Linked DNA regions of Tamandua tetradactyla. The main gene of each other region encodes a partner of the protein of the gene in region 3 in a complex. Links are inferred from orthologs where the notes say so. Each region holds a gene or a part of one and is shown on either strand. Other genes may lie near its edges.

The links.
Region 1: DHX9 (region 3) and HNRNPU share a complex: the UniProt entries of both Homo sapiens proteins name them as parts of the coding region determinant (CRD)-mediated complex. The link is inferred for Tamandua tetradactyla from reciprocal best matches to the Homo sapiens genes DHX9 and HNRNPU.
Region 2: DHX9 (region 3) and YBX1 share a complex: the UniProt entries of both Homo sapiens proteins name them as parts of the coding region determinant (CRD)-mediated complex. The link is inferred for Tamandua tetradactyla from reciprocal best matches to the Homo sapiens genes DHX9 and YBX1.
Region 4: DHX9 (region 3) and IGF2BP1 share a complex: the UniProt entries of both Homo sapiens proteins name them as parts of the coding region determinant (CRD)-mediated complex. The link is inferred for Tamandua tetradactyla from reciprocal best matches to the Homo sapiens genes DHX9 and IGF2BP1.

Annotation. Positions count from the first base shown.
Region 1 is NC_135333.1:16,458,680-16,466,456, forward strand, and holds the start of HNRNPU (heterogeneous nuclear ribonucleoprotein U), read right to left. Parts: upstream 3,005-7,777; 5' UTR 2,777-3,004; coding exon 2,089-2,776; intron 1,203-2,088; coding exon 1,091-1,202; intron 1,002-1,090; coding exon 928-1,001; intron 1-927. UniProt on the Homo sapiens protein: DNA- and RNA-binding protein involved in several cellular processes such as nuclear chromatin organization, telomere-length regulation, transcription, mRNA alternative splicing and stability, Xist-mediated transcriptional silencing and mitotic cell progression.
Region 2 is NC_135328.1:182,059,484-182,067,330, forward strand, and holds the start of YBX1 (Y-box-binding protein 1), read right to left. Parts: upstream 3,013-7,847; 5' UTR 2,688-3,012; coding exon 2,522-2,687; intron 2,462-2,521; exon of another isoform or gene 2,410-2,461; intron 1,909-2,409; coding exon 1,845-1,908; intron 1-1,844. UniProt on the Homo sapiens protein: DNA- and RNA-binding protein involved in various processes, such as translational repression, RNA stabilization, mRNA splicing, DNA repair and transcription regulation.
Region 3 is NC_135330.1:37,702,463-37,709,787, reverse strand, and holds the start of DHX9 (ATP-dependent RNA helicase A), read right to left. Parts: upstream 3,006-7,325; 5' UTR 2,860-3,005; intron 225-2,859; exon of another isoform or gene 86-224; intron 1-85. UniProt on the Homo sapiens protein: Multifunctional ATP-dependent nucleic acid helicase that unwinds DNA and RNA in a 3' to 5' direction and that plays important roles in many processes, such as DNA replication, transcriptional activation, post-transcriptional RNA regulation, mRNA translation and RNA-mediated gene silencing.
Region 4 is NC_135332.1:30,231,012-30,238,690, reverse strand, and holds the start of IGF2BP1 (insulin-like growth factor 2 mRNA-binding protein 1), read right to left. Parts: upstream 3,003-7,679; coding exon 2,828-3,002; intron 1,653-2,827; coding exon 1,592-1,652; intron 1-1,591. UniProt on the Homo sapiens protein: RNA-binding factor that recruits target transcripts to cytoplasmic protein-RNA complexes (mRNPs). This transcript 'caging' into mRNPs allows mRNA transport and transient storage.

The DNA.
Region 1 (7,777 bases), on a different chromosome or scaffold from region 3:
CAACTACCTATAAATGGTATACGGTAAGAAATAAAAAATTTAATGTTTACACTGTTACAAATCTGAATAAATACAACTTCTAATTCATGGAAATTTAAGCTTCCACTGCTTAAATCTACTGGGCGATGTGACACCTATCTACTTGTACTTCAATCATTTCTACCCTCTGCTCTACTTATTACAATGAATAACTTCATTTTTATCAAATACCAAACCAACGTAATTACTTATAGTAAAATTATAAATCTGACAGCCATGGCTCATTTATAGGTTTGCAATACTTCCTCATACTCAATTGCAACCCAACTGGGTAAAGTAGCAGAATTTACAGTGCTGCCATTGATACCATTCGCTGCTGAAGAAAGCTAGTGGCCCAGTGAAAGCCCACTGCTGCTGCCCCAGGTCTTTGGAAGAAATCAACTTATGTTAAAGCAGCAGCTACTGAACTGGAATTGAGAACAAAACAGCAGTTATTGAAAAAATAGTATTACAATCTTTCGTTAGAATAGGGAATAAACTTGTGTGCTAATGGGAAAGGTCATTAGCAAATATTTAACTAGCCCAAATAGCTCACATTATAATTCTACAAAAAAAGCGTAATTACTTTACTGTAGAAGCCTTAGTATAAGTTATGGGTACTTCACAAATTTCCATTAGGTAATTAGTAAAAAATTGCCATTAATTTTACATTCCTAAGCATAAGAGCTTTCAAGTCATATAAATTATAAAATCGCTAGAGCATGTGAAATTACCAATACAACTGATGCTGTACTTAAATATTAAGCTATAAGAATGAATACACACCATAATCTCCTACTTTTACTGTTTTCTGAACTTAGGTTGGACGTACAGCATTACGTCTGTAACACTGTAGAACCAAACCACAGCATTTGGAGCTGGAGGAAGGGAAGAAATGGCTTCACTTACAAGTATCAAGACAAACCACTGTGTCATCGAAGTGTTCATCTTCTTCTTCGACAGGCGGCTGAGGAGATTTGGCTCTGAAAGAAAGAATTGTCTCCTGATATGGCTTTTCCCGTCAACCAACAAAGAATAGATGATTAAAAAAAACTAGGTTACCATCCTCTACCTGCTATACTTGTTTTCTTCAATGTACTCAAAATATCCGCGGCCATGATCTTCTCGAGGTCTTTTAACACCTCTCTTTTTGTCTCCGCCTTTCTGCTCTGTTTTGCCGTCTCCTACAATACACAACAGCCTTATAAGAAGCCAAGCCGCCAAAGAGTGACCAAAAAAATCCTTTCCTAGTTTGAGGCGCAAGACCTTGTCTTCATCCTTTATTCCGTAAAGAGCTTTCAATCGACGAATCAAACGCGAAATCAAAGCACAGAATTCAACCAGTTAGTGACGCAGTCCAAAGACGTAACTAATTTTGCCGTGTACGCGATGATCCGAGAAAACGAAAGAAAAATAGTCGGGCGCAAATCCTGGACCCACGTGCACCGACAGTGTTCAGGAAGGGGGGAGGGGCGAGCCTCCGCCGCGCGGCCCAGCCCGCCCCTCCCCCACCAGCCCGCGCGCCCCGCCGCCGCATTGTACTGATCTTCCGCCCAGGCTCCCCGCCCGGCGCCTCACGACGGAAGTGACGTCACGCCTCGACCCTGCGCTCCTTGCACAATACAGCGCCCAAGAGCCGCTGAGGCACCCCCCGCCCCGGGACCTCGAGCCTCTCCCCTCCCCCCCCAGGCATGTGCCCGCACCGCGCACACGCAGCGCGGCGGGGCCCCCGCTGGCCCACAGGGCTTCCTCCCGCCGCCCGCCGTGGCTCCTCCCCCTCCAGCGGCAGCTGCAGCTCCCCCTGGCTCTTGAGTCACATAATGGAGGCGCCACCGCCGCCGTCACACACACCGACCCCGAGGCCTCATTACGAACCCAGAATTACCCGCAACCCCCCTTCCCCACCTGGATAGGCACACGGAAAAGGCTCCGCACCCGCCCCCCTCGCCCAACCCCCGCGGCGGCCCCAGCCCAGGGTTCCCTCCCCGCGGCGGGGCTCCGGCAGGCCTGGGGCACGGTCCCACCCCGCGCGGGCCTCCCGCCGCGCGCAACGTACAACGCAGCACTCACCCGCCGCCGGAGCCCCGGGGCGACCGCCGCCTCCGCCGCCTTCCGCCTTCTTCTTACCTCCCGCCTGCTGTTGGCCCTGCCTGGCCCCGGGCGGCGCCACCGTCACCGCGAACAGCGAGGTGGGGCCGCTGCTCTTCCCCGCGGCCTCCTTGGCGGCCCCGCGCTGCTGTTGGGGCTGTTGCTGCGGCGTCGCGGGCGGTTGAGGCTGCTGCTCCCCGTGCCCGTTCTCGTCTCCCGCGCCTTCCTCCTCGTCTCCGAGCTCATCTTCTCCTTCCTGGAAGCCCTGATCGTCGCCGTTCTCGTCTTCCGAGGCAGCCTCCTCCTCCTCCATCGGGCCCGAGTCGGCCGCCCCCGCGGCCCCGTTCTCCTCCCCTAGCTCCATCTGGTCGCCATCCAGGGCCGCGATCCCTTCCTCCTCCTCTTCTTCCTCCTCCTCTTCATCGCCGGCGGTCGCGGCCTCCTGCTCGAGGCCTGCTCCCGAGCGCCCGGCGGAATCCCCGCCCAGGTCTAGGCTGCCGTTCCCGGGCTCCATGGCGGGGCGGCCTCCGGCCTCCTCGTCGTCCAGCGCGGCCTGGAGTCGCTCCATGAGATCGGCCTTGAGGCCCTTGTCAGAAAGGCGCCGCTTCTTGAGCTCCTCTTTCAGCTCCGACACCTTCAGCTTTTTTACATTAACAGGCGAGGAACTCATCGTGAGGGCCCCGATTCACCGCTAGGCGCTGGTTCAAACTCGGCTCCGCTCACACGGCCACTGGTGGCGGCTAGTGCGGCTGCTCCTCGGCCCGGGCGGCGGCTGCGGCTGCGGCTGGAGGTGGGTTCGTGCTGCAGAGCGGACCCGCCTGGTGTCGAACGGCGCCAATTCCTTTCACCGAGTTCGCGAGGGAGACGCGGAGACTCGCCTGGCGCGAGCGAGCACGCAACGTCCTCTCGCAGGGCGGCGCCGCGCACGTAATATAGTCGCCCCGCCCCCCAGCCTTACGGTAGTGCTGCGCAGCAGCAAAGTCGCGGCGCGCGCGCGCTCCCCTTCATCCTCTTTACCGTACTTACTTCCCCGCCCCCACGCCGCGTCCCAGACTCGGAGAGCGGCGCAGGCCGCGCGGCGCCGTTCCTCACGGACCGAGCAAATGGAGGAAGGTCGACCGTCTCTCGGTTAAGCCGAAGCCTACCGGCCCTTCCAGTGCCTTAGTACTACTTTTGCTCTGTCAGTCCGATCTGGACGCTGCTTTTATCCATATGTCTTTAATTTCACTCGAACTCTCCACCTTTTCTTCCATCTTAGATTTGCATTCTTAGATATTTGTCCTCTATCAAATTAAAACTCCTCCACATTTTATTTCAAGTTTGATTTGTACCTCACAAATTAGCTTTGATTATGTGCGTGAGGTGTATTTTTCCGCTTAATTTTTTTGTTTAATTTTACCGAGTCCTGCCTGGGGAGTTGGATTTTAAGTGCCGGAAGGGTGAGGGCAGAAGCCCTTTCTTTTGTCTTTTCCACAACCTCTGTTGCAGGGCTTGGGATCCTGTATTCCACGCTGCCAAATAAACTTTACAGGCCTTCATGGCAACTGTTCTCATGTTTTAGTAGCCAAATAGATAGATCTCAGAATTGCATTTGTGAGTTTTCTTTACCTACCAAAAAGACGGCTCTTCTATAATGTTTATTCTGTCAAATTTAGGAGCGGTCTGCAGTCCCAGCAGCTAACAATGAGGGGGAGAGCAGTCATGCACTTTGATTCTGTTCCTACTCCTATGAAACTTCTTAATCAAATCATGCTGAAACTATAGAAACTGGTGAAAAATATGATTTTGTAAAAAAAAAAAAAAATAGTCACGCTGGAAAGGAAATCGGTAATTTTTGTTGTATTTTTAGAAGTTTATGTTTTCTCTTTAGTAAATGAAAGGACTGGTATGGTCTCGAAGTTTTAGGTAGGGGTTACAAGGAAATAGATTTGTGATAACCCGGGAGAGTCTGTACAGTGACCAGCCACTGTACTCTCTAAGGAGATCAGTTTACCCAGGAGATCTGTTTGGTACAATAATGCCCCAATATTAATTTGAAATTTGGAAGTGTAGAAATCTGTGGTTAACTTTCTCTCATAGACTAGTCTGATTTGATGATTAATACATTTTATTTTTAAAGTTCCTTTTTGATAGTTTTTAGGAAGCATGTACCTTGCCATGCAGGCATGTGTAAAGATAAAATACCAACATTTATGTAATGATTTAAGTTGAAATTAGCGAACTATGTACAATGCTGATAATTCTTGGTTCAAGTTGACTTGAATTGATCGGAATAATATCCAAAACAGAACCAAACAGGTTTTAGCCTTTGGTTATATATCCTTGAAATTTATAAACAAGTGACAAAACTGGAATTTGAACGCTTTCTTTGCCCTTGATCAAAAATTGAAAGAGCTACAGGAAGCTTACACATTCACAAATTAGATAATTAGTCCGTTAGAGAATCAGGGTTGAATACAACTAAGTCTTTTAAATGTGTAACTATCCTTAGATCCTTAGGTAATAGTTACATTTTTAGGTATTAGTGATATGAAAACAATTTCAATTTAGCTGAAAAAAATAAGCCCCAAAACTAGATATATTATCAAAATAGATAGATTTACAACAGTTGTTTGGGGTACATTAAATCAGTTGTAAGAACAAACATGAAATATGTTGCGATGTGCTTTGAAATGTATTGTTTTTTGTATATATATTATTTTTTACAGAAAAAGAAAAAAGTCGATTGTGATGATCAATAAAAAGTCTTAGGGAAAAAAGCCAAAAATAATAATTCAAAAAATAAAAAGAATGAACATGAACTCTATCTTTAGATGCACATTAGAAAGTTCCATCCATGGCCTTGTTTCCAAGAGCTTTGTGACTTTTAGAGCCAGATGGGGCCTGTTGATCGTCTTCAGTCTGTTCATTCCACAGTCAAGGAAGTGGAGATCTCACCCCCATGCCGATCCTCTTTCGTACATTACAGTAGGCTCCCTTAGACAGCGTTCAAAAGAAACCAGTTTTTCTAAATGCTCAGAGAACCATCATCTTACTGGTTCTTTTTTTTAAAAGGAAGAAATGTACCATAGACATATTTTACCACTGAAAGTACAAATCATGACTTGATTTTACTAGTCGTTTTTTACTTTACTCTTTTTTGGGGGGAGGGGCAGGGTGCATGGTCTGGGAATTGAACCTGGGTCTCCTGCGTGCAAGACAAGCATTCTACCACTGAACCAGCTGTGCACCCTCATTCTGCTTTATTTTTTATACCATCATGACAGTCCTATTCTACAAAGTTGACTAAAAGTGAGGTTACTTTATATTTCTGAGGGACCTATAAGGAACTTGAAATTACCCCCTTTTAAAATCCTGCCGACTACCAAGAAGGCACAGTTGAAGGGGGACAAATTAATTCTCAATGGCAAACAAGTGATTGATTAGTTAATTACCCCTGGATAATTGATGTAGCAGAGATAATTACAAAGTTAGGTACCCCAGATAGATAATTTACATTTTAAGGTTGAAGCAATGCTGTTGTTTTGTCACACAATTCACTCAGCAAATATTTTTGAGCTAAGACAGGCGCTGGTCTGCTGACAGATCAGTGATCTATATAAATATGCCTTCACTCTCAGGGAAAGTTAGTCAGTAAATAAAGTAGAGATGACAGGTACTACAGGGGAAAAACCAAGCAGGAGAAGGGCAGGGCATGCTGAGGTGGGGTGCATTTATAAATGTGGTAATCAGGGAAACCTAACATATAGGGTAACCTTGTGGAAGCCTGAGGGGTGTGATAGGAAGTGAGATCAGAAAGGAAAGATAGTAGAAAAGATTCAGATTGCCAGTAGTTTTCTAGGTTGTTTTGTAAGGACTTCGACTTTTGCCTTCAGTGAGACGGAAGACACTGAAGGATTGTTAGCAAAGAAATGACATGAACTGATAGGAATACTAAATTTAATGAATCAGCCTGCACTTCATTTATCATGACACTTCCATTTAATTCTGTATTTTTTGTATACTACAATTTAGCATAATGAAAGAAGCAAGAAATATGCTTAGATACATTTTTTAATGTGTTTTACAAAAGATATAAGAAATTACAAGTAGCTTTGGGTTATTATAAATTAAGACAATTTTTCAAATAGACCAACAAGAAAACCCAATTGGAAGGGGGATGTACCAAATAGCAGTTAAAAGTGCAAGCTTTAAAATCAGACAGACCTGGTTTCCATACCAGCTAAACCACATAATAGCTGTGTGATCTTGGACAAGCTGCCTCATAGGGTTGTTGAGAAGATTCAAGGAGGTAATGAATATAAAACCTTGAGTACAGTGCGTGGCACATAGTCTTCATTAGATATGCCTGGCAAGTTAATAAACTTAAGAAAATCCGTGATTTGATTGTTAAATATTATTTAGGAAATTGTGACTTTACATATTTTGTAAATTGTGAGTGATTTGTTCATGGTGAGATTTCAATTTGGCAACAAAGTGAAATAGTGGAAGCAAGAATGTGCAGATTTTACTTCTAGCCCCAGCACTGTCATTATAATCAGCTGTGTGATCTTTCTGGACATCAGTTTCCTCCTCTATAAACCATGCAGAACAGACTAAAAGACTTAATAGAACTTTCTATAAGTTCCCTATTTGCTGACTCTAAGAAAAAGCCATGGGGAGGAGTCAGGCTAGAAGTTAGTGGAAACCTGGAAGAGAAAGAAGAGGACAGCACTATATGGTAACACCAGGGAACCCCAAGGATTGCCAACCCTTCAGCACCACTGGCCCCAGGCAGAAACAAACTTTCAACCTCCAAAACTATTCCAAAGCAATAAATTCCTGCTGTTTAATCCAACGAAGTGTGTGGTATTCGTCATACCAGGTGGGAAACTAACACAAAACCCTCATCTAGATGTGGCCCAACAGCTATACTAAATGGAAAGCTGATCCAGGAATGGCAGTAAAGTGTATATGTAGATACATTTACATAATATATTTACAAACATATACGCACACATAGTCCCAATGCATCCAACAAATATATACTGAGCACCTACTATGTACCAAGTATTGTACCATATACAAGGAATACAGATACAAATGACACAGTACCAGGCAGGAGCTTAGTGTTTGGAGAGAGAAGTCAAGGTATAAGCAATTGCAAAGGATGCTATGAGACACTAGGACAACTACAAGGGGAGCCAGCCATCTTGACCAACTGCTTAGCTGCTGTCTGTAGGATTCCCATAGCATAGGCTTGTACACATGCTTGCCCACACACAAACATTCACACATGCAAACTCTCTCCCCAACAAATATAGACAAGAAGCCAGTTGCATGACATTTGCAAGGAAACCGTAATTAGCTAAGATTTTCTTATATCATATTCATTACTTTATATACAGAGCTGCTTATCATTTTTAGACTTCTGCCAGCTAATAATTAAGCAAGTCCTTCACTAAAAGCTGTCAAGTGTTTAGAGAAAAAAAGTCAAAATCAAACTAAAGGTGTCCCCTGTTCTGTCGTAACTGCCAAGGAACTCTGTATACTCTGTTTCTAAATAACCTTTTCTTCATTTTCCTACGTTCACTTTGCTCCACACTTTTTCTTTTTTATTAATTTTTTTTAAATACCAAAAAAACACCAAACAAACGCGAACATTCGTAATTTTTTTATCATTCCATTCTAC
Region 2 (7,847 bases), on a different chromosome or scaffold from region 3:
CATTCAAAGAATAGTATCTCATGGCATAACTATTTATAATATGTAAAGAACTACTTTTACATCTTGCATATAAATTATTTACTTTGAAAATATCATAACCTGTGCCATTTGAAAAAAATGCAAAAAAACCCAAAAGGCACATGCAAATTAACAGCCTCTTCTAATGTGCACAAGAAATAATGACATTATCAAGGATTAAAAGCAATGTGTCTCAAGGTGTGGCCCACAGACTATCACCTGGAACTCTCATTAAATCAGGTGCTCTGAAGGAGAAATTAGGGTATTCTCTTCCAAGGTAAGCACACTTAATTTAAAACCACTGGTTTAGAGCTTAGACCAGAAAGGAGAATCAGAGTAATATGAAATACTAACTGAAACACTAATAATTGAGAGATCAATCAACTAAAAAGTAGTCAATCAATGATGTAAATGGATTCTCTTCCTTCTTCCCTAGCAATCCATCATCAAAACATACAAAACTGATGAGAATATGTAGCTTTGGCCTGCTACAGTATAAAAGGTGAAAAATTCCTTAAGATATTGAAGAATCAAAATGTTTTCCCTAAAATGCAAATTGGAAGACAGACCATCAAATGCTTATCTCTTTTACTTCCAGTGTTTCCTCAATATTTTATGGTTGACTGATGAATGCTTTTTCATTCATCAATTATGTCAGTCTTTAAACTTGATCTTGCCCATTTGGTTTCCTGCAGTACACTGTACATTTCAAACATTCTACTTTTACTTCTTACTCTCAAACATGCTTTTAACATCTACCTGTTTAAAGCTTTCTAAAAGAAGAAAAAAAAAATGCTGACATGGTGTTACATATCCTACCTGTAAGCCCGAGATCCCCGTTAATGTACACTGCTCTACACCCATGTATCTGCACTACTCGCCTTGGCAGCCATCTTGAAAATGATGCCCGGCTCACAAGGGAGATCCATGCAGAGTGCTGTGAATCAACTGCACGTTCCCCATCACTATTACTACAGGCAATTTTAAGGATAAATGCTGAAGGTGTTTTGTAACCACACCTTCAGATATGAAGAAATACGAAGAGCCACACACTTTGGCATCCGGACTAAAGCCGTCTAATAACATATAGCCAAGACTTTAAAATAATTTGATTTAATATTATGGCTCGACTTTGGGACAGGTAAGTAGGAGAAACAAAAATTATGGACGGGTACGGACTATTTTCTTCCACAAGTGTTACTTAACCCTATGAACAAATAAAAATAAATAAAGCAACACACCCTTTTGTTAAAACAGCTCTAATAAAAGATTTCATGCGAGGTATTTAAAAGACAGCATCTACTGGAACAAAGGCAGTATAATCTTACAATAAGGATGATAAAATCGCATACACTTAACGTGTCAAAACATCTTACCACAAGAGGTTAACATGTTATAAATAACCTAACGGGGCTCCTTCTCAAAACCATTTCAATAAAAATTCAATAAAATATACAAAAAAGATGAGAAGAACAAAAACGTTGTGGACCCGAATATAACTGAAAAATTCGTACTGGACCATAGTTTCTTCAGTTTGTCCTAACCTGCTACGGTATGGCTCAAACACTCTGCTTGCCTTTTAAAAGTGCTTTGTGCCCCAATGAAGCCTCAGAAGTTAAGATACAACTGCAAAACAAAGAAAATCTCTAGATCACTATTCCTTGCAGTCATCAAGGAAAACGAACATCACACTAATACACTAGAGGTATCACACACCCTGAACACGCGTGTATCTCCATATCCTTAAAACAATAAAGCCACGCAAAACCTACAGCCGGAGTAGAAAACATGCAAGAGGATGGAAGCTTCAGTGACGGTCATCTCACCTGTTGATGAAACCATATCCGTTTCTTACATTGAACCATTTTACTGTTCCCAAAACCTTCGTTGCTGGAAAAAACAGACAAAAAAAAAACCCCACAATTACCAGGTATTCTTTTTAAAAAAGCCACACTTCAGCATCCGGTCCCTCACACGCTTCCCAGCCGCCCGGGCCGCGGCCACCTGACAGCCTTTCCCTTCAAAGCCCGTTTCCAGGACCTTGCTACCGCCACCAGGACGCTTTAACGGAACACGTGGGTTAATTGGATGGCCCGGTACGCCCCACGGGCAGGCCTGGGGCGCGGGTCCAAGATGGGTGTGCGAGAAGACAGCGAGAGAGCACGTGAGGGAAGGGGAAACCGCCCCGGCCCACTCCGGCCTGCGTAGGCGGCACGCCGCGCCCTCAGGGTACACGCGGAAGGGAGCTGGGTGGGGGAGACAGGAACAACGGCGGGCGAGGACCGGACCCCGCCGCACACGCGGTCGGTGGCGCGCGCGCGCCTGCCGGGCACGCGGGCCGGCGCCGGGGAGTGCGCGCGTGGGGGGGCGTGGGGGAGGGGCAGCCGCGCGCGGCGGAGTCGGTCCCTGCCCGCCGCGCGCTCGCCTCCTCGCCTCGCTTCGGGTAACGGTTCCGCGGCCAGGCTCCCCTTCTGCCCCACCCCCGTCTCCATTCGGCCCTCACCGATGACCTTCTTGTCCCCGCCGGCAGGCGCCGCCGATGTGAGGCCGCCCGGGACGCCGCTCCCTGCGCCGCTGCCCGTGGTGCCGGGCTTGGTGTCGGCAGCGCTGAGGGCGGGGGCGGCGGGGGGGGCGGCAGGCGGCTGCTGGGTCTCGGCCTCGCTGCTCATGATTGCGGTGATGGTGACTAGGGCCGGCTGCGGCAGCTGCGGCTCCTCCCGGGGTGTGATGGTAACTAGGCCGGCGGCGGCGGTGGGGCTGCTCAGGGCTCTCTGGGGTCCGCTCTCCGCTCCCGCTACCGATCGAACTAGCGAGAATGGCGGGACAGGCGGGATAAGCCCTGTGATCGGCCCGCCCTAAAGATGTTCACTGGCCAGCAGTGCTGTCAATCCCACCACCTGACCTCAACTTCTGGCCCCTATTGACTAATACTTTATCACTCCTCTACTCTCATTGGCTCTTAGGCGGCTAATTCGACAGACCTACAACCGTTCTTGCCTCCGCCGCCGCCATAGAGACCGGAACTAGAATTAGGGTAGAGTCACCACGAGAACCATAGAGAACCAGAGAGGGTGGGCAGAGAGAACGTGACTTTCACGAGGGTGTAGTCCGCACGGGCCTCTACGTCCTGGGTTGTGCCAGCCCAGAGGGAAAGGCGCGGCCAAACGCCTGGTCCGGAATTACCCTGCTTGACCTGCGGCGTGGAAGGGGGCCCAGTGACACCTTAGCCCCTTGTGGAGGGACTGCCAGCCTCCCTCCTTCCCTGCTCCATATATGGTCCTGTGAACTCAGTGTTACCGCGGGGATACAGCGGGCTTTCCATAATGGCCGCATACACGGGGAACAGCGGAGGGTTTCTCCAGTATCAGACTTAAACGTATGCATTCGAGAAGAGTCCGCTTTGGGCGGCGCAGTCACCCTCAGGGGACCGCGCGGGCTCTCAAGCCCCCCCTGCTCAGCATATTTAGGGAGGTGGTGGGGGCTGCTGTGTGCTCCCTGGAGACCGCGTTCCGATCTATTTTATCTGGCATATAAGGAATGTGCTTTCCTGAGAATTCACATCTTTTTTCAGACTGATTTCAACTCGTATTTTGAGCAAACTAGGCATTTTTTCTTGCGTTTTGTCCTTACAGCAGCCATGTGAAGTAGGGATTACTGTCCACGTTTCACAAACGATAAAATTGAGGCGGAGACCTGATGTTGCGTAAGTCCTCCGGCTCCATTCGTTCTTTATTAAGCGTCTACTATATGCTGGAGATGGAATAAGAGCGAGTCAGTTTCTGCCTTCTGGAATTCAGTCTGGAGATTTGGGCAGAAATTTGAACATCCCGTTTCACGCCACGGTTGTTAAAGCACAAAGCATCTTGGGAGAGGAGGAACGCAGGGTGAAACACTGACTTTGCAGGCGCAGGGCGGTTTATGCGAAGCCCCCCACCCCCACCCCCACCCCAAACAAGACCAGATGGTTGTCTCAGGGGAACTGCGAGTAACGTAGTTGAATAAAGCTAGAATGAAGACATGGGGTTGTAAGAGGTAGGCAGGATCAAATTAGGAATATTTTTAGTTTTCCCCCAAGGGCAGTAGTGAGAAGAGTAACTTAAGAGTTGGAAGCTAGAGACTGGGCATGGCCTTTTTAAAATGGCTGCTGAGTGGAAAATGAGTTGCGGATGGGCAAGAGAATGGAAGCAGAGAAAGTTGTGAGTTGTGATGGGAAAGGTTACTCCTTGTCCCATCAGTAATATCTCAGCCTGTCAATTCCATCCCCTAAGGCCTCCCTGAACCAGTCCTAAAAATCTCTAAGTCAGTCCGGTCTCTTATTCCTACTGCCACTACTCTAGTTTAGGCCATCATCAACTGTTATTTACAGTCGGATTAGGCAAACTTTAAAAATGAGGACCATATAGTAAACATTTTAAGCTTTGTGGGCCATTCAGTTCTATCTCAACTACTCTACCATTATAGCTTAAAAGCAGCCATGGACAATACATAAACAAGTGCAGCTGTGTTTCAATAAAATGTTATTTTATGGACATTGAAATATGAATTATATAATTTTTACATAAAAGATTGACTTTTTTCCAACTATTTGAAATTTTTAAAAACCATTCTTAGTTCATGAGCCATAGAAAAACAAGTGTGATCTGGCTTGCTAGTCAGTTTGCTGACCTCTGGTTTAGAGCATTAGCCTCCTAACTGGTTGCTGCCACCCCCCAACACACACACTGCTTTCTTCTTACAGTCTCCACCTCAACCACCAGAATGCTCTTTTGAAAAAACCAATCTGACCTTGACAGTCTTAATGTCTTCGAGTAACTTCCATTACCCTTGGTATAGTCCAAATACCATAATGTGGTTTATAGGACTCTGAACCAAATTAAACTCTTACCTTTCCACTCTTTCAATTCTTGCCCAATCTTCCAGGTGATCTTTTAGTCATTGCTTCCTTTGGGCTACCCCCTCAGACTATAACATTATTCATTTTCCCCTTCATTTTGCTTGGTTAACTCTTCAACTTTTAGGTCCTGGCTGCTTACTTATAGAGTACTAGATGTCACTCAGGTGTTTCCCCCGTGTGATTATATTGATAGCATCCTGTACTAACCCCTTCCTGATACTGTATTGCTCTTAAGTCTTCCTTGACCACCTAGCAATGTGCTTCATATATAATAGCTTGATATGTTAAACGAATGACATGGTGTGGAAAATGGTTTGGAGGAGGCAGCACTGGAAATAAAAAGGTCTCCTGGGTAGCCGTATTAGTAATACACATGAAAAAGAAGGCTTGGAGCCACAGTGTGGACGGAGAGAAGCAGGTGGATTCCAAAGCTGCTATTCCAATTCTAGGTGACTTTTGACTGTTGAAGTGAGCAGCCTTTGCAATTGCTTTGAAGGGATGGCTTCTCAAGCAGAATACAAATTTTGAAACATGTCTTTAAAATGTTACTTTAAAGTATCACTACTTATCCAATTACTTTTTACTTTTTCAAGGGGCTTTCTCTTTATGCTCCTCCAATGTGTAGATGAACTTCTTAAGACAGAAAAGCTAGTTTCCTTGTAGTCACCTCTATATTAGCACTACTGGAGCACCATAAGATAACATAATATGTGGAAATACATCTTTCCTTCCAAAGTGAGAGCTCCCACTCCAAAGTTCTGCTGATCCTCCTGCCATTCTGAGGGCTCACTCATATTGCTCAGTGGCCTATGGTGACCACAGCACAGATAACCTCACTGCCTAGCTTTTAGTGATATGAAGGGCAAGAGTGTTCAAGAATTTACTTTGCAAAATAACTTTCACCTTCTTCCCCATCTCTAACAGACTCTTGTCTAAGAACACAGTTCCCTCTTCCAGGAAAGCCCTCTCCACCTTCATCTCCTGGCTATTTCTAACCAATTCATTAATAATTACCTCAAACGTCAGTCTTTCAAGAAGCCTTCTTTGACATCTTCCTCTTACCTGCAGTCTCTCCACTCTACTCCCATAGCATCTTGTACATACCAACATCATCATTTATTCATGCAACAAATACTTAACTGAGCACCCATGAGACACTAGACACCTCCTCCAGGTGCTGGGGGCAGTGGGGGAGGGGACACACAGCAGTAAACAATTTCCTGCCTTCGTAAGGGCTCACATTCTAATTCCACCTTGAACTGAAACTGTATCTGTCTCCTGTCACACGCATGGGCTACATCTTACTCATTGTTGCAACTCCAGTGCCCAGGACAGGGACTGGCATAAAATGGAGGTGCCAGGTATGACTGAACTCAACTAAATAGTTAGCCCATAAGAATATCAGCTCAGGAACATATCTGCTCATCCTCCTTCCCACCTCTCTGCCTAGTTAACTGAAGATCTGTCTTCCTCCAGTTCACAGTCCCTTCCTTCCCTACTGATTGCTCTGGTCCCTGCTTACTTGGCTACAGAGAGTTCTGAATATCTACATTGTAGGGTCTTGTATATCTCACATCCCCCCTTGTCTCCCAGTATACTGAAACAGCATGTTTAACCAGATTCTATCATAGAATTTGGCTCTCTGCTACCTCTGCTGCAGTAACCTGCTGCCAGTAGGCATAGATAGCATCCTGTCCATGAGATGGGAATAAAGTAGGTAAAGTCAGGAATGGGAGAACTTGTAAAATACTTCATGAAAGGAACACCAGAGAACTTTTTTCTTTTCCTCTTAAACATACTCAGTGGAATCTTTTTATGGTGAGGTATTTTCAAAGACATGTTACTGTTTCTAACGATTCCTTCATATCTATTCTCTTTTATTTGACCCTTTCAGAAAACTATGAGGCAAATCTAGGTATTATCCCCATTTTACAGATGAGGAAACTGAGCTCAGAAAGGGGAAGAAAATTTCTCAAGAACACCAATAGTTTAAATGACCCTGGATTCAAATTGAGATTTTTGACTATATTATTACCACCACTTCATGACCAAGACACATTCTACTAAATGGTCTCATTAAAAAACATCCCAAGTTAGTGACTCTTTTCCCATGGTCCCCAGAATTAACCGCATTAAACCTACTAGGAACACCCTTGGAATAAATATTGCTTTAAGTCCCTAGGCTTTGATTTCTTTGTCACATCAGCTACGAGGGGACTACTACAACAGCTTGCAATTCTAAGGCATCAACTATACATAGCAAGGGCATGGCTCTGGTCCATGCTGGCCTCTGGGCAGAGACAGTCCTCCCAGCTGAAGCTGAGAAGTGAGGAGATAGAGGCTGCTAATACAACCATTTAACAACAACATACATAGCAAAAATAAAAAACACAAAATTTTATTTACAGTTGAAAACTTAAACAAAGAAAATCCTGGGTCCTGAATCAGTGATACTTCCAAGGTCTCTTGAGCAAATGGAGGAGCAGCAGGCAGGAAAGCAAACTCAGGGGTCAATCCAGATGCTCTTACTCAAGGGAGGTCTACAATGGCAGAGACGTGGAGGTCAGTAAAGTCAGTAAGCAGCTCAGAGGAAATGGAAGGGGACATTCCTTGAGAGAGATAATGCCCCCAGCTATCATCTACACTTCTAATTCTCTTTTCCTAAGAGAGCAGAACCAGTCTGATTCTTGACATAAACCAGACCTTCGGTTTCCCAGAGCAAAATCGACAGGTATATTAACACAAGGAATCAAGAAAGATCGAAGGAAGAAAGGAACTGACACTTATGGCCAAGCCTATCATCTCATGTCACTTAGCCATATGAGCAAACTACGGGTCCAAATGGTTTAATGATTAGACTAAGGTCACAAAGCTAGAAAGTTGTAAAAAGCTTCCTGGTTTACTTGGCTCCAAAGCCTGTGTCCTTTCCATCAGA
Region 3 (7,325 bases):
ATCCTGTTGATACTCTGATTTGGACATTTTCAAAGCCTCAGACCTGTAAACTTATAAACTAATAAATACTGTTAAAAGCCAGTCCATTCCCATTCGACTACCACTTTTTCTCTTAATAGATTTTAGTGGCTATGCTTATGGGATAGATGAAAGTTGCCATGATCTGAAGAGGGAGGATTTTTCTGTGTGTCCTTCTTCTATATGAAATGGCTGAACAGAAAACCAGTGCCTGTGACATTTTAGTACTATGTACTAAACTCGATAAAACCAGAAGAATTTGAATAGTAAATTTATAAGTGTTTTTCTCCCCCACACTTCAAACAGGGAAGCAGTGCGGTATATCAGTGAAAACCTAATTATTAATACAGATAAACTTGGAAGAGATTGCCTGATTAATGCTGCTAAGACCTCTATGTCTTCCAAAATTATTGGAATGTATCCTTGTGATGGGCCAGCAAAGCTTGGGCTAATTTAAAAAGAAAGATTCTGTGTTAGTTTTTATGCTTAAACTATTGATTGCACTGGAGATCATATACTGAGATTGCCTGATGCCTTCCCTGCCTTTCTAGGGAGAAAAGCTGAACATAAAGTGTGTGTAAAACTTAAATTGTACATATTAAGTAAAAAAAAAAAAAGCCAGTCCATTTCTAGTATATTGCATTTTGGCAGTTTAGCAAACAAAAACAAGTCCAAATGCAGTAAGTATTCAGTACTTGAACTGAAAACAAGAACCTATATAGCTCAAATATTTACATGTTTCTAAAGTATCCCTAAATGTCCAATTAGCCCTAAAATGGCCTTGTCACTTTGACCTCTCCCCTAAAGAATACATGACTTTACAAGTGCTCCTGTATAAACCGCCTCTCTTCCAAGACACCTGTACCAAATTAAATATTAAAAAAAAATTTAAATACAGTAGAAAAGCCTATTGAGAGAGTCCTATTTCCTACTTTACAGGTATCTTTTTTCCTGTTCTTAACACAATGGAAGTAATAATGTAAGGAAGAACGACCATTACAAGGGAGAAGACTTGGTTTTATCCTTGCCACTTGCTTGAAGGTCTGCTATTACCACTACACTGCTAAAAATCCTCTGGTGGTGTCTCATCGCTCTATGAAAAAAAAAAAAGTCTCTTGTCTGAAGGTATGGGAGTTGAACCAGTTCTCTCCTTTAGGCCTTGCTACTTGTAAAACTTGAAGATACCAAGTTTCTTGAAGTGCAACATTTATTTGTTAGCGTCCCCCCTTTATTCCAGCTTATAGATACCAAAATAAATGGAGCCTACAAATCTAACGTCTGAGTCGTAATTATAAGCAATTTACCTGAAACCAAATTTAGACCAGAGAAAATATGCTATGAATTTAGTCTGAAGCCAAGAGAAACCTCCTTTCTCAGGTTACACCTGTTTAGGATCACTCTTAGTGCACTTTGTTAGCATCTACGTTTAATGCATTTAAGCCGGACACTAGTATAATCCTGTTATGGTCACTGTGCAGCCATGGGCTAACCCTGCTCAGCTGTTTTGGTGAAGGAGCACTCTATCACAGAAAAGCTGTGGAAAGCTGAAGAGGTCTACCTGTAAATTCCATTCCTGAATAATTAACTCAAAAAACAAGCCCTGAGTAACATGAAATACGAACTACACTATCAAATTCCTTTCTCCTTAAGTTGTCTCATCTAATTCCACAATATTCAGCATCAACTATATATTGAAAGCACAGTCCTTTCCCTTCAAGCTCCAAGATCATAAGTTTATCCAACTACCAAACTAACCTAATTTAGGAGTCATCTACCTCCTGAATAACTGCCATAACTATTCATTGTAGAGCACCTTAATATGGGCTAGTTTCCTTAGTGGATCATCTACATGAGCTATTTTATTTACTCTTTAGAGCCTTTAGATAACCATTATTATCCCCTTCTCACAGTTGAAGAAGACAGAGCTAGTGATCGGAGGAGCCAGAATTCCACCAAGGAGGTCTGACTCCAGATTTACTTCCCTCTACCACTACAATTCTGCTTCCCAAATATGTCTGCAATATATCTGCTTATGTCCATCTCTCCCACCAGCACTGCACATCTGGAGTACTGCTTCCACTCTTGCCACCTAAAATTCATTCTTTTAAATCCTTCTTGCCACAATCCAGTCACATCCCCTTCTTGAGGTTCCTTTTTAGTCTCTGGCCTTTAAGCGTCAACTAATCCCTCCTGCCTCTGCAGCTCTGCTTTTCCTCATCTTCACAGCTGGCGCAATCTCCGCCTTCAGATAATACCTTAAATGTCTACCCCCTCCCCTAGACGCCTTCCCTTGCCGCCCGACCTAAAATAACTCTCTCCCTTTACACTTCTAAATTCCTCATAATATTTTTCAATCGCTTACCCCTCACAAACCTCTCTGAGGGAAGCGGCGGGACTGTGTCTAACCTGTGTGATGCTCTACCCACTCTCTGCAGGAGGGCGCCGAATATTTGTGTCGTGAGGGAATGAATGAAGGGCCTAGGAGAGTGCGTCGCCGCGGGCTAACGACCCGACAACTCACTCCCCTTTCGCTCCGCGGCGACAGCGCCCCCAACGTGAGCTGATCGAAGGAGAAGCGGGTTGTACCTCGGAGACAGGGGTAGGAATTGCTGGGAGAAGGCCTAGGCGCCATAACCGCGGCCCTGGACAGGGCCAGCGCGCTGCGGCCAGCGGCAGACGCAACCCCCAATCCGGGAACTTGGCGGGGTGGCTCGCCCCTTCCCCCACCCGCCATGGGCACCCGCGCTTTGTAACAAAGCAAGGCTGCACCGACGTCGGGTCCCTCCCCGCCGCCCCGCGACACTGTTGCCCCGCAATGAGGGAAGGGCTCCTTTTCCTTACCGAATACCGCTTTAGGGTGCTCAAGAGCACAGCCCTCTCAGGACTGACCGTGGCTCCGGCCTTCTACGACGAAAGCAGAAAACCGCGAGAACGCTAGCATGGAAACGGCGGCGGAATGGCTCCGACCGCTGCGCAGGAAAGGGGCGGGGCGGGGCGGGGTTAGTACGCGTACGCCTGCGCAGAAAGCGAGCGTGGGCGAAGGCGCCAGAAGGCCGGGGGCGAGCTTGCTGCAATCTGGCTGCGCTTGCATCCCGTCGCCTTGGAGACCCGCTAAGTTCGCCGGAGGTGCCCTAGCGGGACTTCTTCCAGTAACACGCCACCCGCTTTTTAACATTTTAGGAGTTGGGGCCGTTAATATTTTAGATGTAGCAATATATATCGTAGCTTCTGTCCTAGGTACCTCTGGTGAGATGACAGAACTGGAAATCTCCGTGCTCACCTCATTAGGTTACTGTGATGATTAAATGAGATGGCATATTAAGGGGGCTTAACACACTACCTGGTTCATAATAGGTGTTCAATAAATAGTAGCTGCTGTCAATCGTTAAGTGATTCAGTTACTCTGATCGTGAATGTCTCCTGAGAAGGAAATACGCTCAGTGAAGGGAGGGACACTGCACTAGCTCAGGACACCCACTATGATGCCGGGCACATCGCACTTGCGCAGTAAGTACGAGTTGAAGGAATGAATAAAACATGCAAGGCCATTTTTGCTTAAATTGGATATCCTTTTGTATTCAGAATCTTTGGGTTAATTTGTATCCTTAAGTATTACAATAGTCTACTGCTAAATTTTTTTAACTCTAGTGCAACACTGCAAGATATTTCAAACTGAGTTGTTCCGGAAAACATAGACCAATCAATACTCTGGACCCATCATAACTATCCATCCTTAGTTTTCGCTTCTTTCATTACATTTTTTCTTACTCCTTCTAGGTCATGGTGATCACTCCCTTCTTCAAAACTCTAATGCACTTATAATGAGAACAACAAAATTTAGCATTTACTCATCTTTTATTTTCATCATGTGTTTGCTCTCCTCAATGAAGAGATGTGACCTAGCCCATTCAAGGTGGGTCTTAATCCTCTTGCTGGAGTCCTTTATGAGAGGATAAAAGGCAGAGACATTTTGGAGAAAGCTGAGAGAAATGCCCACAGAAGTTCAGAGAAATTTTGGAGAGAAGGAACAGCAGACATTGCTATGTGCCTTCCCATGTGACAGAGGAACCCCAATGCCAGCAGCCTTTCCTCTGAGAAGGTATCTTCCTCCTGATGCCTTAATGTGGATACATTTTCATGGCTTTAAAATTGTACATTTGTACCCTAATAAGGTTCAAATCTCCAAATAAGGGAGATCTGGAGGCGGAAAGGAAGCTGCAACCATCTTGTAGCTCACAGACATTGAGCAGTAGACTCACCTAATAGGTATGAGGCAACAGCTGGGCCTGCAACTGCTGCACCTTGCCATGGCTTCTCCTTCAGTTTCTCTGACTCCTGGGCCAGGTAACTTAATGAAGTGACATCATCATAATGGCAGCATAAGCTATCCCTAGGAAATTTCCTCTTAGAGACATTTAATAAAAGGGCACATACCACTCACCTGGAACTCTGGAAGACGAAAATCTGGGAAAAGATTCTACAAATGCTGAATCGAAGAAAAAAAAAAAAGCACCAAAAGGAAAAGAGAAAATCTGTGGCACGGACCTGCCTATCTGGATCTTCTACCTCACTGGGTCTTATGTGGTTTAAGAGTCACTCAGTGGAAGCACTCTGGCCTGGGCACCTCCTGCCATGGTCATTGACCATAGAGCCACCCACAGCAGTAACTTAGATCTCTGTACACATTTAGACACAGGGACCAAAGTGGGGAATCCGGTAGTCAGCAAGTGTGCTCAGAAAAATCAGCCCCCAGGAAACAGGAAACAAAGTGACCCACGATGGAAGGGTTGGCAAAGGGTGCACACTCCCAACTTGGTCTCTAATTGCTGGTGCACCTAAATGAAAAATGGGCATTTCTGAACACCAACCCCATCTGGCTCCCTGGGTGGGATACTCTAATGTGCAAGTTACTGGAGGCAGAAGAGCCGAATGGGAAAAAGGGAAAGACTAAACTGCTCTAAGGCAGAGAGGAGAGAGGACCAAAAACTGTAATGCAAAGGCAGTCCTGGAGTGGAAAAGCAGTTGATCAAATCACAGTTTCTGGGAAGGAAAATTTGCAAAAAGAACAAACAGAATAGTTCAGGACTCCTGAAGGAGGAACAAAGAAAAATAAATCTTTTCCTAGAGCTGAAACAGTCACACTTAATTGGACAATTGTAAGAGTTGCAGCACATGCCCAGAGCGAAAGACAGGTGCAGAAGATCTAAGAAAATCTGAACTGTTAAACACAGGCTGCTTTAAATGTTCAGTATAAGCCGGACCAAGCATTTGAAAAGAGCCTTACCACTCAGTCAGTGCACAATCAAATCCTAGGCAAAAGGAAGAAACTGGCTGAATTAGCACATCAAAATAATCAAATGGCCAGACATGAGAAAAAAAATCACAAACCATATAAATTCATCTTTATACCTTACACATATAAAATGTAATGTAAATATTTAATTAAAAACCTTAAAAGGTGGGAATGAACTTATTCAAAACTATCTAGGAATAACTCTGTTTTTTTTCCCCATAGATGAAGGTATATAGCCTTGATGATGAAGATTTGGTTCAGGAATAAAGAAAGTCTGATAGTTTTTTAAAAACATTGTCTTAAAAATCACTAGATTTCTACTGCAAGTCCTTGAATGGTGGATGTAGGTCCTAAGTATTAAGGCATGTAAGAGGAAATTCTACTCTTTACCCCAATCCAGCCAAATCCAATTTGTGCAGAGACTAATACCAAAAGCTACACACCTGGGGGACATACCTGGGGACTAGTAAGTGCAGGTTACCCCTACTCTGGTATGAGTTCATTTACACTAAATCCTATTTTCTTGGCGACATCATAATCTCTGATCTTAAAGAAGAAAAATGGGTGGATAAAGACATTACAGGTAAATGCGAACAAACATGAAGAAGGGGTGAAAATGACAGTATCAAATAATGTTGAATTCAACTACAAAAGCATTTAAAGAGAAGGGAAGGACACTTTATGATGATTGTTCTAGTTTGCTAGCTGCTGCCATATACTAGAAACAGAACGGCTTTTAAAAGTAGGAATTTATTAAATTGCAAGTCCACAGTTCAAAGGCCACAAAAATGTCCCAACTAAAGCAAGGCTATAGAAATGTCCAATCTAGGGCATCCAGTAAAAGATATCTTGGTTCAAGAACGCCAATGACGTTCAGGGTTTCTCAACTGGAAAGGCACATGGCGAACCTAGCAGCGTCTGCTAGCTTTCTCTCCCAGCTTCTTGTTTCATGAAGCTCCCCGGGGGGAGCGTTTTCCTTCTTCATCTCCAAAGGCCTGACTGCAAGGGCTCTGTAGCTCTTTCCAAAATGGTTCTCTCTTAAACGGCTCCAATAAGCAACCCCACCTTGAATGGGTGGAGACACATCTCCAAGGAAATCATCTAATCAAAAGTTAGATGTGACTCACAATTTGATGCGTCATATCTCCATGGATAATTTTAAAACTTCCACCCAGCAATACTGAATGAGGATTAAAGAACATGCCTTTTCTGGGGTCCACAAATTCAAACCAGCACAATGATAAAGGGTAAAAATCTATGATGAAGATTTATTAGTCATGAAACTTAAAGCAATAAGCAACAAAGCATCAAAACTCATAAGGCAAAACCACTTTTTATTTAGGGTTACATAAAGTCAGGTGTGGTAGTGGCAACAGGATGATCTATTTTAGGAATCTGTGAACAGTAAGGGATGCTCGATCTGAAAGAGGTGCAGGTTAGAGAGTTGAAAATAGTGTCAAGGAAGATCAGCAAAATGTTTAGTCTGCTTCTGGCTGCAAGTAATTAAAAGTCCAGCTAGAAAAGGCTAAAACAGCCAGGAAAACTTATTGTCACATAATAACACAGTCTTGACGTAGGGTAGCTTCAGGGTTGGTTAATTCAGCAGTTACATGAAGGTCCACAAGTTTTTTCTGCCATTCTCAGTATGTTGGCTGTGTCCTGAGATTGGCTCCCTCATGACTACAAAAGCATTGTAGCAATCTACCTCTGGATTCAACAACGGCCAGAGGAAGAAGAGATCTATGCATCTAGGTGGCCAGATTTATATCACATGCCCACCTGTAAACCAGTCACTTATAGGGAATGGGATTTCCATGGCTGGCTTAAATAATTTGGGATTTACCTCTGATCAGGACATAGGGTCACTTTTCCTGAGGTATGGGAAATAGAGAAATGGAGGTTCTATTAGAAAGAAAGAGGAGATGGAGGCACAATGGGCAGGAAAAATATGTTACATACAGAAGTGCAATACCAACTGTTTCCTTTTGGTAAGTCCAGGAAAATTATTCCATAT
Region 4 (7,679 bases), on a different chromosome or scaffold from region 3:
GAATTCCATTTCATCACATTTTGATATTTCTCTTACTTTTCACTTTATTCCCTTTAAAATTTAATTCATCCTCAAGAGCAAAAGAAAAAATTTCCACATGTCAGAATTCCAGTTATTCTGCATATTTCTTATCAACACATTTTAAATGTGTTTTAAATGCAAATGAGTCTTAAATTCAAATATCCACAATCTTCCATAAATCTATTAGTGTTGGTGTGTGTTTCTTCTATGCCCATCTCCAGGAAATATTTCAAAATAATAAATAAGACTTCTTCCTTCCAATTTTATTGCCTCTTTACTCCAATTCTAATTGCCTTTCCAATAACAAAGTATTTCAACCACTTAAGGTTAAATCACAAGCTCTATAAACATAGTAACATGCCATATTGATCATCTATAGATACAATAATTCCAAGTTACTTAAATACCTCAAACTAAATAATTGAAAAGATTTTTGGCCCAAGTTAAACTTTCTAGCTCTTCTTAACCCTCTCCCCCAGTAAAAAAAGAAGCCATCCACTTCCCATCCAAGAAAGTCTAGGAACTATTCTGAAATGTAGCAAGTTTCACTTGAAATGAGAGGGAGAGAATCCAAGATTTACTGGGGGCTGCTCCCAACTAGTAACATAAGGAAAACTGTACTGTCAACATGTTTAAAGGCTGATTTGAGAAAGCAGAAAGACTCTGCCCTTATATTTCTAGCTACGATTCAATGAAAGATTTGGAAGCCAACATGAACCGGATGGGGGGGGTGTAATGGAGGGACCCCCTTTGCAAGAGAGGATAGAGGGTATTGGAAAACATACTGCCACCCCCACCCCCCACCCCCACTATTTATCCAGGGAGTTCTAGGCCCTCCAAAGAGCCCAGCTCACAGCCTCAACACAAAGCTCTCACCCAGATGGTCCCTAGTAACAATGGACCGAAGGAGTGAGGGAGGGGGCTTGAAAAGGATAGTACAGCCAAATCATATTCTTTGAAAAATTCAGCAAGCGGTGTGGGGGGGGTGGGATGTGGAGAGTAGGGTCTATTTTAAAAAAAAGAAAAAAAAAGCCTTTCCCTGTTGCAGAAATATAAATTAAGCACAAGCATAAGGGTATTCTTTTGGGGAGCAGGAAGCTCATTCTATTGTCCCTAGGGAGTATAAAGGGACCCCCCCTCCTCCAAACCACTGAAAAATTATGGTGAGGGAAGGGCTCAAGGATGGGAAAACGGAAATAAAACCTGCTAAGAAGTTGCAGAAATTGCCTTGGGTCAGAACTCTTCAAAAATTATAAGCTTCCGCACAAAAACCGGCCCCACACCTTGAGCAAACTCCACGAGATTTTTCCCCTTCCTATTATTTTTTATTTCCTTTTAATCCTCCAAGCAACATCTTTTAGCCCACCATAGTCCCAACTTATTATTTTTTTTTACAAGCTGTAAACCACCCATTCAACAAGATCTTGGCCAACCTTCCTTCCCTGCCCCCAACATCCGGAGTTGGGAGTGAGAAGGCCAGTAATGGGCTTCTTCCACTGGAGACGCTATGGACCCCTGATCGGTGCCTCTCGGCCTCCAGGACGGGCCCCAGAGAAGAGCTCTTCCCTACCTTTGCTTTTTGGGGACAGAGTGCTCAATCTCTAGGCGTTTTCCTTGTAGTTCTACTTTCCCTAAAGATTAAAAAAACACACACACTCACATTAATATGAGAGACTGAACAGAGGTGGGGGTGGGAAGAGGAAGTAAAAGACGCTAGGGTTATTGAAGAGTTACTGGGATTCGAGATCGTCCTAGGAATTCAGAAGTGGGTCCCGCTCCTGGGTGGGAAAGGGTCGCTCTGGGCACTATGGAAAATATATTCGTAATATTTTCTTAATTTTTTGTTTTGTTTTCGCACTGAGGCTAGCTGTGTTGTGAACTGCCCTGGGAGCGCCATTTGGGAAAGGTGCGGGGGCATTTCTGCGGGTGCGCTGCCAACACGACCCCCAGATGTGGGGAGAAGTGGCCAAGAGGGAAAGATCTCCCGGTTTCTCGGAGTGTGAGCAGGGGGGCGGGGCGCGGATGCAGAATGAAACTTTATTTTTCTGAAGAGCCAGGAAGAAGGACTTCGGGCCGCCGGGCGGTCACCTGTCGGGGCCCGTCAGGACGGCGAGAACCTGGGGAAGCAGCGCTGAGCCCCGCGAGGTCCCTCGCGGCCTCCGCGCGCGCCTCTCGGCCCAGCCTCGGCGTCTCGGGAAGCAGCATGGCGACCCTGCGCCGCCGCCGCCGCGCCACGCCGCTCACGCCCCACTTTCAAATCAAAATGGCTCAAGTCCCAGGGCCTGGGCGGTAGGCGGGACCCCTTTCCTCCCAGGCCCTGCCCGAAGACTGCGGGCCCCACGGAAACCCGAGGGACCGGAGACGGTGTGGGGACCCCTTCCCTGTTTGGAAAGGCCTAAGGCGGCGTGCAGGGACTGGGGGTGCTCAAACTGAGGGGCCGTCGGGTGGCGGCTAGGGAGGAGCGGGACTTGGAAATAACGTCCAGGCAGGGGTCGCCTCAGCGCCGCTAAAACCAGGCCCCCCGTTACTGCCAAATGGGGGCTCCCGCCCCGTCTTTAGGGTTTAAAGAAATCACCTTTCTAAAGCCCCCAATTTCTTGTCTCGGGTGGGAAGAAGGGGTGAGAATATCCCGAATTATTTCTGCAGAAGAATAGGGGTGGGTTGAGGGTGAGTCCTGGGGCCGAGCCACGCAGGCGGGGCCAGGGGGTAGAGTTGGCGGTCAAGCAAGAGAAGGTGCAGGTCTCGCTTGTTGGGGATCTCGGTGGTGGTTTTTTTTGGTGTGGGGGGGAGGTGGGTGCGCTCTTACCAGAGAAAGTTTCGATGGCCTTCATCGCCCAGTGCTCGTCGGGGCAGTCTACGAAGGCGTAGCCGGATTTGACCAAGAATTGGCCGCTGTAGGAGATCTTGTGCTCCGCAAACACTTTCTCCAAGTCGGCGGAGGTCACGCTCTCGTTGAGGTTGCCGATGTAAAGCTTGTTCATGGTGGCGGTCTCGCGGCAGGACGCGGTCTCCGGCAAGGCCGAACCGAGCAAGTGCGGACGGCGAGCCTCCTAGGCCGAGAGATGCGGAGAGCCGCGGCCGGAACGCAAACTTTCTTTGCACCCAACCCTTAAGTTGTCGCGAACCCAGGGCGGGGAGGGCGCCTGAGGGCGGGGAAGGGCGCGGGAGAGTGCGGGGAGAGCCGGGGAGAAGTGTCCGCCGCGCGATCCGACGCGGAGGACGCGGTGGCGGGTCCCTTCCTTTCCTTGGGTCCGATACCCTTCCGAGCCGACTGGTGTGTCACGTTTCTCCGCGGCCGCCCTGGCGCCGCCTCTAAATAAAATCGACTTGAAAAAAATGGAGCGGAAAAAAAAAAAACGAGAAGCCACGTGGTGAAGGCCCCCACCCACCCCGCAGGGGAAGACCCCCGACGCCTCAGGGCCCCTCGGCCCTCCAGCCAGTCCTGGTCTACCAATCTCCCGCCTGGGGGGCATTCGACTCACCCCCAGGGGAAACTGCGGCGGTGGGGGCGGCATTCCCGGAGGTCTATTTGCCCCCTCCCCCTTTATAAGAACCTGGCCCCTAGGGAAGCGCCCCACCCCCACCCATCTCCCTCCCCTGGCCCGAACTGGGGGAGGGTGGTCGGGCCCAGAATCTAGCCCGCAGTTCTGGGTAAAATGTAGGGCTATTTTTTATTCGTTGGGGGGGGGGGAGTGTTACCCACCCCAACCCGATTAACTGCTCGAGACTGACAGCAGGGGAACGGCCGTGAGAGACAAAGAGAAACCGAGGACTCTGGGGTCTTCAGGAGGGGGTCGTGAGAGCTGGGGATTTAAGAAGGCGCCTTTTGCCTAGATTTTTAAATGAGGGGTCTCCGCCTTCCCCGCCCCACCCCCATGCAACTCCCCCCGCCTCCGGGGATCGGAAACTGATTTCCCCTGTGAGCGCGGGATCGGGAAGCTAGGAACCCGGAGAATCGCAGTTGGGATCGAGGGATCCGCAGGAAATCATGTTTCGGGATTCCCACGGGAGAAAGGGTGGCTCGCACAGGGGATCCGACTGTTGAGCGATAACATTTCAGGGCTCCTGTGGGGGCGCGCGGTTCCGGTCCAAAGTGACCCCTGGAGAGAGGAAGGGTGGAAGAGAAGAAAGAGGGGTGGTATCTTGGGCAAACCCGGAGAACCGCAGGGGGAGGTCTCAGCGAGGGAGTGACCGGGAGGAGATAGGAATGGTCCCCGTTTCCCTGCGGGGCAGACAGGTGGAGTCCTCGGCCTGGTCCACGGCGGACACCTACAGGAGCGCTCCAGGCGCTTGGTTGGGGTCTCGGAACTTTGTTTGGGGCGCAGGATTCGGATCCCAGTGGGAAGGCGGGAGAGGGGCCCGGGGCTGGGGGCTGGGCGCGAAGCCCCTCCCACGCCCCCAGGTCAGACCCGCGGGGGGAGGGGGCAATTTCCGCTCGGCGCTTGAGGAAGCGAGGGGCGAGGGCGGAGAGGAGGGGGCGCTGGCTCCTCCCCCGCCCGTTCCTGGGGAGGGGAAGCGGATCCGCCCAGGTCCCTTCCCTCGGCTTTGACCAACTCGTTCCGGATCCTCCGTCCCCAGGAGCCCGAGGGACGGACCCGACTGGGCAAGGGGCGACACGTGGGCGGTCGCACCCCGTCCCGGCGGTGGGGGAGGGGGCAGGTCGCCGCGCGTCTCGGAGTCCCGGATACGCGACCGAGAGCGGGACGCGGGGTCCACGCACAAGCCCGGAATCCCGGGCGGAGAGGCGAGGCCAACGAGTTTCCAGCGGCGCGGGGCTGGGATGGCGCCGGGGGGGCGCGGAGAGCGCGGCCAGAGGACCCTGGAACCCTCTCAGTCAGGGAACTGGGGAGGGGGCGGGGGTCGACCACCGGTAACGCCCGAGTCTCTCGGAACTGGGCGGAAACTCGAGTCTTGGCCCCGGGTTCCTCTGGAGGGAGAAATAACCCCGTCTGGGGCACATGTGCAGCGAGGGCAGGTGAAGAAGGGGGTCACCCGCCCCTTCCCCGGCCCCCGACCCCATTGTCTCAGTCGCCTGCGGCCCGGGCCGGGTTTTGCAACACGTGTTGCCTGTATTGATATGAATGCCTTGAATTTTTTATTGTTATTATTTTTCTAGTTTTCAGAGTCAGTGGACTGACTCCGACTTTGGCTCACCGCTCTTCTGCCGGTGATATTTATACCGTCCAAAAAGTCCGGACTGAGAAGGCAGCATGCAGCACCTTCGTCCCCCTCCCCATTTTTCCAGCGCGCTGAGAATAAATGAAGGGGGAATGGGGCTTACAACTCGTTTCTCTGTCTCCACCACCTTCAAGAACCACCCTCCCAAATCAGCGTTTTGTTCCAACCAGCCACGTGTTTGTCGGATTTTTATTTTTCTTTCCTTGGGGCAATAGGAATTTTTAAAACATAAACAGTTGGTTGCTAATGTTTTCTGTTCAAGGGGGTAGGAAGACCCCTCCACACACACACTCACACACACACACACACACACACACACACACACACACACGCCTCCTCAGACCCTCCACATCTTCTTTGACTTAAGATTTAGTCAGGTCTCGACCGCAAACATAATTTTAAACTATACCAAAGAGCTGGAAACAATGCCTATCACATAGTAGGCACTCAATAAACATTATTTTTTTAAAGGAACAAGCTAATACCAACTGCAGAGCAAGGAAAATCCAGAGGAGATTTTGAATCCAGAAACTACAAATGATCTTGGCCAGAATATATGGGTCTGTTCCCAGGGAATTTTCTTGGTGGTGTGTGTGGATTTTTGAAAGGGCTAAAAGATGATCTCAAGAAAGGCTGTTGTATTCCTTGGCCTTTTCCTAAGTAGGAACCCAGGTCTCTTTAAAATCTTTTCTGTTTTATTGGGGAACAAGGGAAAGGATACTAGGCAAAGCATCCCAGTACCCAGAAACTTTTAAGTACTGTTTTTTTCATTCAATTTAAATCTTTTAAGTATTAATAGATGCACCTCTCAGCTATTCTACCTGGGGGAATGTTCACTGCTCTATCCTCATATCCCTAAAACAAAAGCAAGTTACACCCTAGAAAATCTCCACCCAGACCTCTCAACTCCTGTACAAATGCAGTTCCCCTTCTACTATCCTAGCTTCAAAGGGAAATGAGTTATAATAAAATAATAATAATAATAATAATAGAATCTTGTTCCCTTTTAGATTGAAAATAATAGAAGTTTAAATGTTAGCTGAAATTAGTCAGTTTTTTAAAAATACATATTTAAAATGACAGCCGAGGAGAAAAAGTTTGCTCTTTAAAAGTCTTTTTAAATTATTAAATTAAAAACTTACCAACTATTGCAAAATTGAAACTACTTATTTTTCAAAATCAGCTGTTTCACTGAATTCTAATCCTCCCCTCACACACACACTCAAAAATGGCTTCTGCACGTATAGTCAGAGGTTGCAAGAACACAAGGGAGAGAAGGAGACAGCTGGGGTGAGATACAGACCTTTTTAACCCCCAAATCAGTTTTGCCTCAGTGACCTAGCTATTTTCGTCTGGGGGGCGGGGGAATTCTGAATGGCGCTGATTGGTGCTTCACCTCTGAGTGAGCTGAGCACTAAAATTAACCTGAAAGAAGAGTTATTTCTCTCAAGACTCAGATTCCTAGGTTAGGGATAGGTATGAGCAGTCTTAGGTTGCCATAATTTAACATCTTTCTTTTCTTTGTTTTACTTTATTTTTTTAATATTTAAAGACAACTGATAAACATTGTATTTCTTTTCAAAAAATTTCCCATGCCACTTCTTTGGAAAAGGTTAATGTTCACTGAAGAATTAAATTTTAAGGACCTAGAAATATATCTGTGAAATAAATTATGCTTTTCTTTCTTTAATAATGTTAATTATTCTTCCTTTTTTCATTTTCTCCTTTTACTTATTTTCCTACTCTTCCTCCTTTGTTTTCACTGGAGAAATTTTTGGTCTAGTTATTGAACTCAATTCCCTCTGAATTCAAAAACACTAAAACTCGACTCTAAAAATAAAGGTGGGGTTCTGATCCATTTCCATCCAACGTGAAGATACAAATACATGCAGAGAAAAAAATGTAAGAAATAAAACAACTTTTTAAAAAATTGGAAATTGAAGGTGAAAAAAATCAACAATTCCACAAGTATCATACCAAATTAATTTTATTTTTAATGTTTCCTTGCAGTATTTGTCCTTTGTAATATTTACACTATGTAATTTTATTCTTATATCCTAATTTCTCACTCTTGTATCACCAGTATTTTTCCATACTACCTCAAAGTGTTCATAAATATGATTTTTAGTGAACATACACAAAAAATGCAATCTATGTAAATTATTAACTGTTATTTTAGATATTTAGGTTGCATCAATTTTTTACTTTTGTAAATAATGCTGTAATAGGCATTTGGGGAAATAGAACTTTTCCTTTTTTTAATTAATAGTTCCTTCAAATAAATCCCCAAAATATTTATAGCATTTAAATTAGCATTTCTCAGTGACTTTTCTATTTTAGAAGCCAACATGTTTTACAAGAAAGAAGACGCAAAAAAATTAGAAAGCAGTTAAGATAGAAACATATTAAAATTGAATTTTTAATTTTTAATTTTCTATAAAAAGAATCAGTTTTGAAATAAAATTATGGTTGCTATAAAA